Linked DNA regions of Rattus norvegicus. The protein of the gene in region 1 interacts with the protein of each later gene in a biochemical or structural test. Links are inferred from orthologs where the notes say so. Each region holds a gene or a part of one and is shown on either strand. Other genes may lie near its edges.

The links.
Region 2: the proteins of Ncl (region 1) and Adap1 form a complex in vitro, tested with the Homo sapiens proteins (2 studies listed by BioGRID). The link is inferred for Rattus norvegicus from reciprocal best matches to the Homo sapiens genes NCL and ADAP1.

Annotation. Positions count from the first base shown.
Region 1 is NC_086027.1:94,453,156-94,457,382, forward strand, and holds the start of Ncl (nucleolin), read right to left. Parts: upstream 2,929-4,227; 5' UTR 2,803-2,928; coding exon 2,785-2,802; intron 1,849-2,784; coding exon 1,732-1,848; intron 539-1,731; coding exon 37-538; intron 1-36. UniProt on the Homo sapiens protein: Nucleolin is the major nucleolar protein of growing eukaryotic cells. It is found associated with intranucleolar chromatin and pre-ribosomal particles. It induces chromatin decondensation by binding to histone H1.
Region 2 is NC_086030.1:20,486,564-20,490,208, reverse strand, and holds the end of Adap1 (arf-GAP with dual PH domain-containing protein 1), read right to left. Parts: intron 3,011-3,645; coding exon 2,927-3,010; intron 2,715-2,926; coding exon 2,652-2,714; intron 2,119-2,651; coding exon 2,047-2,118; intron 1,873-2,046; coding exon 1,644-1,872; intron 1,429-1,643; coding exon 1,400-1,428; 3' UTR 248-1,399; downstream 1-247. UniProt on the Homo sapiens protein: GTPase-activating protein for the ADP ribosylation factor family. Binds phosphatidylinositol 3,4,5-trisphosphate (PtdInsP3) and inositol 1,3,4,5-tetrakisphosphate (InsP4). Regulates the incorporation of CD63 and CD9 into multivesicular bodies.

The DNA.
Region 1 (4,227 bases):
TACATGCAGTACTCAATATCCTAAGCTCTAACTCACCATCTTCCTCCTCCTCCTCTTCATCATCATCATCATCATCTTCTTCATCATCATCATCTTCCTCATCCTCATCCTCTGAGGCAGGAGCAGCAGGAGCTGCTTTTGCTGGTTTCACTCCTTTTACTACCGGTGGCTCAAATTCATCCTCTTCATCTTCATCCTCATCGCTGTCATCTTCATCCTCTTCATCTTCATCCTCATCGCTGTCTTCCTTCTTGGCATTCTTACCATTCTTAGCCCCCTTGGCTGGAGTGACAGCTCCCTTTTTACCAGGAGTTGGTACCAATGCTTTTGCTTGTGCAGCTCCCTTTTTACCAGGTGTTGGAACTACTTTGGCTGGTGTAACAGCTTTCTTGGCTGGTGTGGCTGCTGCCTTTTTGCCTGGGGTAACAGCTGCTTTCTTAGCTGGTGTGGGAACTGCAGCCTTTTTTGTTTGTGAAACAACCACCTTCTTTGCTGGAGTTGTGGTAGCCTTTTTGCCTTTCTTCTGAGGGATGACAACCTTGAAAGCAAACAAATCATAAGCATTCCTCTATATCCAATGCTATGTTAAGTTACTAACACAAGATAGACATTAGATATGTTTCTAAAAAGTAAAGAACTGGAGAGATGGCTCAGAAGTTAAGAGCACTTGTTACTCTTTTTTTTTTTTTCCGGAGCTGGGGACCGAACCCAGGGCCTTGCGCTTCCTAGGTAAGCGCTCTACCACTGAGCTAAATAAATCCCCAGCCCCACTTGTTACTCTTATAACAAGTTTAACATCCACATGTAGCTGTAATACCAGTTTCAGGATATCCAAGTACATTCTATTCTAGCATGAGGGGACCAAGCATGCTTAATGCACTCACACACATAAAGATAAACATTAAACCCTTAAATAAGGATACATGGCCTTCAATGCTTAAAAAACTGGACTCTTAACTCAGCACCTGAGCTTTTCTAAGAAATTTGATTGAGCATGACCATAAAAACTGTCCTGAGATAAGGTTTCACTATGTACTCCTATTTCTGTCTCCTGTGTGCTAGATTGTCTTTAAATGAAACTTGGGAATGTCATATCTAGCAAATGGGTTATTAGCAGCTTTCTACCCATACAATGTATTTTGAACAATGATTGGAATTAAGATTCAAATAAGCTGAAGCTCAGTGATAGGGACCAGTATTGCAAAAACAAACCATGTGAGATAAAGAATACGGGGAATAATAAATTTTGCTTAGAGAACAAGAATCTAAAAAGGCTACCCTCTCCTCTAAAGTGTCCAGCTTAGTCCCTTAATATATAGAAGGGGGGGTAACCCCAAAAAACTCACATGGTACCACCTAAGCTGAGACCCTGATTCCATCTCTACCTAGATCAAAGTCTGGGTTTCTCACTAAACTTGTCATTTGTCTGGATACTGTGGCTAACACCTAATTCAGGAGAACCTATCTGAGGTTAGGCTGGTCTACAGCTTCCTGTCATAATGTCCTGCCAAAATTCACAAAGCCAAGTGACCATGGACTGAATAAAAATTAGGCTAGAATAAGCAATTTTCCCAAAAACGGAGGGAAAACCACCCCACAAATCTACAGTAAACTCTACTCAATACAACATACGAAACTCTGCCCAGACACCCCCCCGAACTGACTGTTATTTCTGACACTTCCAGTCAATCTACCACTGCAAATCACACAATTTTTCAAATAGCATCCTACCTCCTCTTCTCCACTGCTGTCATCTTCATCTTCTGACATTTCTTCATCCTCACTATCTTCTTCCACCTCCTTTGGAGGAGGAGCCATTTTCTTGGACTCTCCGTGGGTTTTGCCGGCCTACAAATGCACACAAAAAAATCACCCGCATTGTAAGCCACTTTGTCCTCGGCCACCACCTCCTTTCTTACTAAAGAACACAAGCATAAAGACTTCTCGTGGCCAGGCACGACACTCTTCCTGGCAAATTTTTCTGAGAACTGCGCATAATTTGTCTTACAGACAGAAACCTTCACCAGGAAACAGCCACAGGTTTTTAAAGTCTACTTAGTCGTGGCACTTTATTTTCTGGCACGTTCCACAAAAAAGAAAAAAACCCAGTTAAAGGTTCCATTTTAACTATTTGCCGGGGAAGGGGGTTATCTCGAAGGCACCTCTTAAAAGCATCTCTGTATCGGAGCTACTTCCTACTTTCTCACGCTTACAGCCAAACCACGTGGAGTCACCTAGCCGGTCACCACGCGCTACCTCAGGAGCCCACCACGTGTCCATCTACCCGTCACGGTCAGGGACTGCGGATCGCTAGGTAACTAGGCCAACTCTACTGTCCCCTTTCCCGGTGTACTCCCACTCCCCTCACTGCCTCGGACGCGCGACACGTGCGGAGCGCCGTAACCCACGTGGCGGGCCGCGCACCGGAGCACGTGCGCCGGGAGGCGGGGCCGAGAGCGCTAGCCGCTTAAGGTTGGCCCACTTCACTCGCCGAGCCTCCAACCCCCTCTCCGCGCTCAACTCCTCCGACTTCCCCTCACACCGACCCCCGGCCCCGGTGCACTCTACATCGCCCTCCCAGAACCTGCCTCGGCTCCTCTCATCCCTCAAGTCAGAGGCCAAACACCGCGAGACCTCCCGCTAGTCGCGCGAGACTTCCCTCAGCATGGCGCCCTCGAACGCGCCCGGGACTGTGCGCAGGCCCTCCTCCCCTCCGCGACGGGCGCGCGCGCGTCTCTCAGAAAGCAGGCCTAGTCGTCCGTGTTCGCGCGTCAGGCCTATTACCTTTGCGAGTTTCACCATGATGGCGGATTACGGCGACGGCGTGTGTAGAGAGCGAGCAGCTCAGAAGAGCTTAGCGGAACCCACGCGAAGACGACTGGATCGGCGGGTAATGAAGACTCTGGAGCACGTACAACCGCCTGCCAGCTACAGCTAGCGTCTGAGGCAAAAGACTGAGCTTGCCCAGTAATCGCCTCTGGAAAGGCGACGAAGGTGTTCTCGTGACCTCACCTCCACCAACCAGAGCTCGCGTCCGTCCCCCGAACCAACCGCGAGCCTTAACCCAGGACGGCGTGGGTCGGGCCTAAAGCGTGGGGGAGGGCGGGGCTCTTAGGGGCAGGGCCTGACGTCTGCTTTTGAGGGCGGGACTAGTTTTGGCCAAGGCGGACGTTGATTGGTCAGTGTGCTGGTCCTTTGAGTGTTCCTGAGCGCCCGCTCGCTACACGCCTGCGCAGTGAAACGCGCGAGTTTGGCGCGGCTTGAGTGAGGCGCGAGTAGGTGGCGGTATGGCCCGGATTCCCTCAGGTATCCGTACGCCGCATGGACGTCTGTGCTTAGGTGGTCTGGGCATTTCTCGGGGATTTCCCTTGCGTAGCGGAAACCTGCGCCTCCCGGTGGACTTCTCAGGGGCCTAGAACGTTCGCCGCGCTGAAGAGCTGGAGAGCGCCGGAAGGCCTAGAGTTCATTCGGGCCGTTTAGTGGGCCTTGGCCTGCCCTCGGTAGAGGTGGCGGTCCTCTTGGCTGTGGTAGCCTGATGCGAGCCACCACTTTCCTGAGAGCTCCTAATAAAAGCAATTTCGCGCGCGCGCGCGCGTGTGTGTGTGTGTGTGTGTGAGCAGTGCACAAACAGTCCATTTAATCTCTGACCTCACGCGGTAGGTATAACTCCAGGTTCAGAGAGGTGACTTCCTGGTGTGTGGTGGGAGAAGTACTCGGCCTGCCTGGGACCGCTCACGAGTTCCCTCCGTGGCAGAGGACGAGAGAGTTGTCTTGGATTGCTTTAAACGGATTGCCACTAACTGGTTCCAAGCGTAGCAAACGGGTGCCCTCATCAGCTGACAATATCGATTAAAAATTACCTGTGGAGGTGCTGGTGGGGGTTGAGATAGGGCCTCACTATTTGCTCTGGCCGTCCTAGAGCACACTGTGTAGACCAGGCTAGCCTCGACCCGCGTCGTCACGCCCGGCCCAATCTAGAAGATTTGATTGGAGTTTTTTGTTTTTTTGTTTTTTTGTTTTTTGGTTCTTTTTTCGGAGCTGGGGATCGAACCCAGGGCCTTGCGCTTGCTAGGCAAGCGCTCTACCGCTGAGCTAAATCCCCAACCCCTTGATTGGAGTTTTTGAGATAGGTTTTCTCTTTGTAGCCCTGGCTGCCCCGGGACTCATTCTAGACCAGGCTGCCTTCGAACTCGGAGATACCCCTGCCCCCTCCTTTGCCATCCTCGG
Region 2 (3,645 bases), on another chromosome or scaffold:
TCCATAGTGCCCCTTACACACAGAATGCTTCTCACATACCCCACAGTTCTCCTTACACACACACACACACACACAGCGTGGTGGCTAGGGACTATGGGACACAGGTTGCAGAGTCAGGCCAGCTCTGTCAGGCCTGCCGTGGAAGTGACATGGTTCTTCTCATGTCCCTTACTGCCCAAAGGGAGGCTGCCATAGCAAAGGGGTTACCAGCCCCCTCCTCCCACTTAAGCCACAAACACACAGAAGGGACAACGCCAGAGCCACACTTTATTCCAGGCGACATGACACAGGGCAGCAGAAGCCCAACTAAGGACCCCTCCCCCCAGGTCCCTAGGGCTTAGCTTTGAGGAGGGACCAGGTCATTCACAGATGGGTCCCCCATCAATGCTCCCCAGCTGTCCAGCGGCCAGGACCTGCCCTTTGGGGATCCCATAGAAGGGAGCCCATCTGTTGGGGTGGCCAGAGGGCAGTGGGGGAAATAAATACAGGTAGCTTTAACTACTGGCCTGCCAGCAGCAATCAGGGCTGGGGGGCAGCCATTCCTGCCAATGACCACTTCTTGGCTTGGGCTTTCATTCATCAAGGGCTCAAAGACTGTAAGGGCAGGGCCAGAGGGCATGGGTTACAAAGCGGGGACAGCACCGAGCTGGGCACTGACGCCCAAAAGCAGATGGGATGGGGCGCTCCCTGGCTCCCAAGGAAACCGCTCCTGGGCTCCATGCACAGCACCCTGCAGGCTAGGCTCCCTCCTGGTTGCTCCAGCCAGCTGTCCCAAGGGGCCTGGGGGTGGGGGGGTGGGGCAAACAGGTGGGTGCAGGGCCTATGCACACAGTTCTCTTGGAAAAATACCTGACCCCCAATGCTCCAGCTGGGTCAGCCCTAGGGGAAGGAGAGCTGACCCCTGACCCTTGATCCCTGACTGACACACAGCAGGTGCTCAATAAATACTTGTTGAAGTGGGGAGAGGAGTGGGGAGGCATGCGGCACATCCCAGAGTGAGTCCCCAGCAGCCAGGCCAGCCCGCTGCCACAGCTGTTCATGGCTGTCCATGGCTGTCCACAGCAGCCCAGCACCAAGTCCTGTCCTGAGGCCAAGATCCCCTCAGGCCAGAAGAGTTAGTAGGGTCCTGCTCAAGTTGGGAGGCAGGGCTTCCTCCAGCAGCAGGAAAATGGGTGGGTCGGCTGGGCGTGGCTGGGAGCGTCATGACAGGGCCAGGGTCAAGTGAGGCCCAGAACCAAGTCTGCCTTCAACTTTAATGAGGTTCTGAAAAACTGTCTATCTGATGGGCTTGCCTGAGCCCCACCTGGCCATGCCTGGGCCACACCGAGGAACAGAGGCTCTCCTGCTGTCCAGCGCCGCCACACGAGTGCAGAATCCTGGGGCCTCCGGGCTCTCTTCCTTAGGGTTTATGCTTGAAGTGGGCTTCCACTAAAAATGGGAATTTTCTAACCTTGGGAGCTGCCAGCTCACTCAGCCGCCGCCCCCCCCCCCCCCACAGCCTGTATCTCCCCTCCCTCCACAGCGTGTCCAGGGGCCCTGGCAGGAGTCTGTCTGCCAGGGTGCTAACACAGAGCTGCACCATACTAGGGGCCTTCACCGGTGACCCCACCGCCGCCCTCCTGCCCCACACCTGCACCTCTCACCTGCGTACTCCTGAGGCAGCATGGGCCTGTCCACCACCTTCTGGAAGGCTGCTATCCACTCCCTCTGGTCTGACTCTGTCTCACACGTGAACAGGAATTTTCGGTCAGGGGTGACAATGGTGATGCCATGGGGCCAGTGGTGACTCTGGGTTGACGGTGGGAGGCCCTCCAGGACCGTGTAACCACTTTCCTTGCTGCCAATGAAGACTTCCCCTCGGGCAAAGGCATCCTGTGGGCAAGAAGAGGCTGGGGCATGAGGAGGGGACCTCCTCACCCTTGACTGTCCTCTCTGCTTCTTCTCTGAGCCCTACCAGGTAAGGCCCTAGTATCCAAGACCTTGAGGAATCCCAGCCCTATTCCCTGAAACAGGCCAGTCAGGGGACTATAGCCAGACCTTCCTTACCAGAGGGTCTTTGAAGTACATGAGCCTCCGGTCGTCCATGGTGAACCAGCGCTTCCGAAAGCCTTCTGTCTGCTATGGGTCAGAAAGGATAGTGAGCAGTCAGCAGCCCCAAGGTAAACCTCTGCCCCAGGAGACCACCACTCAACACCCAGTGGGCAAGGGCTCACAGGGCACCACTCTGGCCAACCCGTGCATGAGGAACCCTGGCCATGCCTGAGATTCAGGTTAAAATCCACCACTTCCACATTGCAGAGCAAACGTGAAGGTCCCCGCTTTAGAGGGGCCGGAGGGCTGGAGGCTCAGGCTGACCCAAGCAACCAGGTCACTCTCCTAGATCCTGGGTTCTCATCCCGGCACCAGAGCACAGACGAGGCCTCAAGAACCACCCTGAAGCTTAAGGCCATAGGACAAAGTGGGCAGTCCCAGGACACTTTGAGATGCATCTGGGAAAGGGCTGGCACTCTATCAGTGCCCAGTGAGTCCAGTGACCTAGTGACCCTCAACCCCTCAGCCAGCCACCCAGCCTAACCGCAAGCCACCCCGAGACAGGCAAAAGCAAGATGGCTGACCTTGAACAAGCCTAGAAGCACATTGCTCTCACCTACCTTGGGCCCTGTCTTCTCCATGTAGCCTTCCTTCAGGTAGTTCCTAGAGAGCTTGGGCACCAGCTGGGACAGAACAGATGGTGGTGAGGCCCACCCTGTGTCATTCCCGGGACTGCACACAGCATGGCACAGCTGGGTTCCAACCCCAGAAAGGAGTCAACCCTGCCGCCTTTCTAGCGAGTCTATTGATGCCCTTTTTCAGTCCTGTGACCCACCCCGGATGGCTACCTCCCCACTCCCCTACCCAGCAGGGCGACTTGGGGACATCCACTCACATCTGCGTCACTGGCTCCTGGGAAAGCCACCTGCAGGTAGTGGAAGCGGGCTGCTCGCAGCGCATTGAACCAGTCCACGATCTCCTGAGGGCCGAAGGTGCAGTGAGTGATGGCTCCTGAGCCTCGGTCTCCTCCACAGATCCCCTCACCTGGGCTGGCACTCTGAGCAGCCTCACTGCAGGATGGGATGGACCCCCACCGCCTACTCCCTCATTGTGCCAAGATGGGGCAGTCTGGTGACCAGGATCGGGCTGAGGCAGGGGACTGAGTGGGCTTGACATCTGAGCTCTGCGCATCACAGCTCTCTCTCTCTGCACACATCTAGGGTCTCTCAGTGCTGGCAGGGGTCCACAGTGGCCTGGAGCTATGACTAGGGTCCCTCCTTGCTGCCTCGCCACGGGGACCCCCATCTGCCTCACTCAGAACCTGTCCATTTTTGTCTTCCCGGCACTTCTGGTAAAATCCACATCACTGCCAACACCTGAATGCCAACACCCAGCATTTGTCGCCAGCCTCTCTTCCCTGGGCATGGCCTATTTGGGCTTCTCCTCTGCAGCCTAGGACACTACCGCTGCCGCACATGTTCCCACTCACAACTGGTCCTACCCACTTCCTCTTTGGTCCCATCCCTCCACCTGCAGAAGAAGTTGGTTGAACCTCTCCATCCTAGTCTCCCCTCTCTCTTGCCCTCCCTGAGTTGTGGGACAGACCTGAAGCCT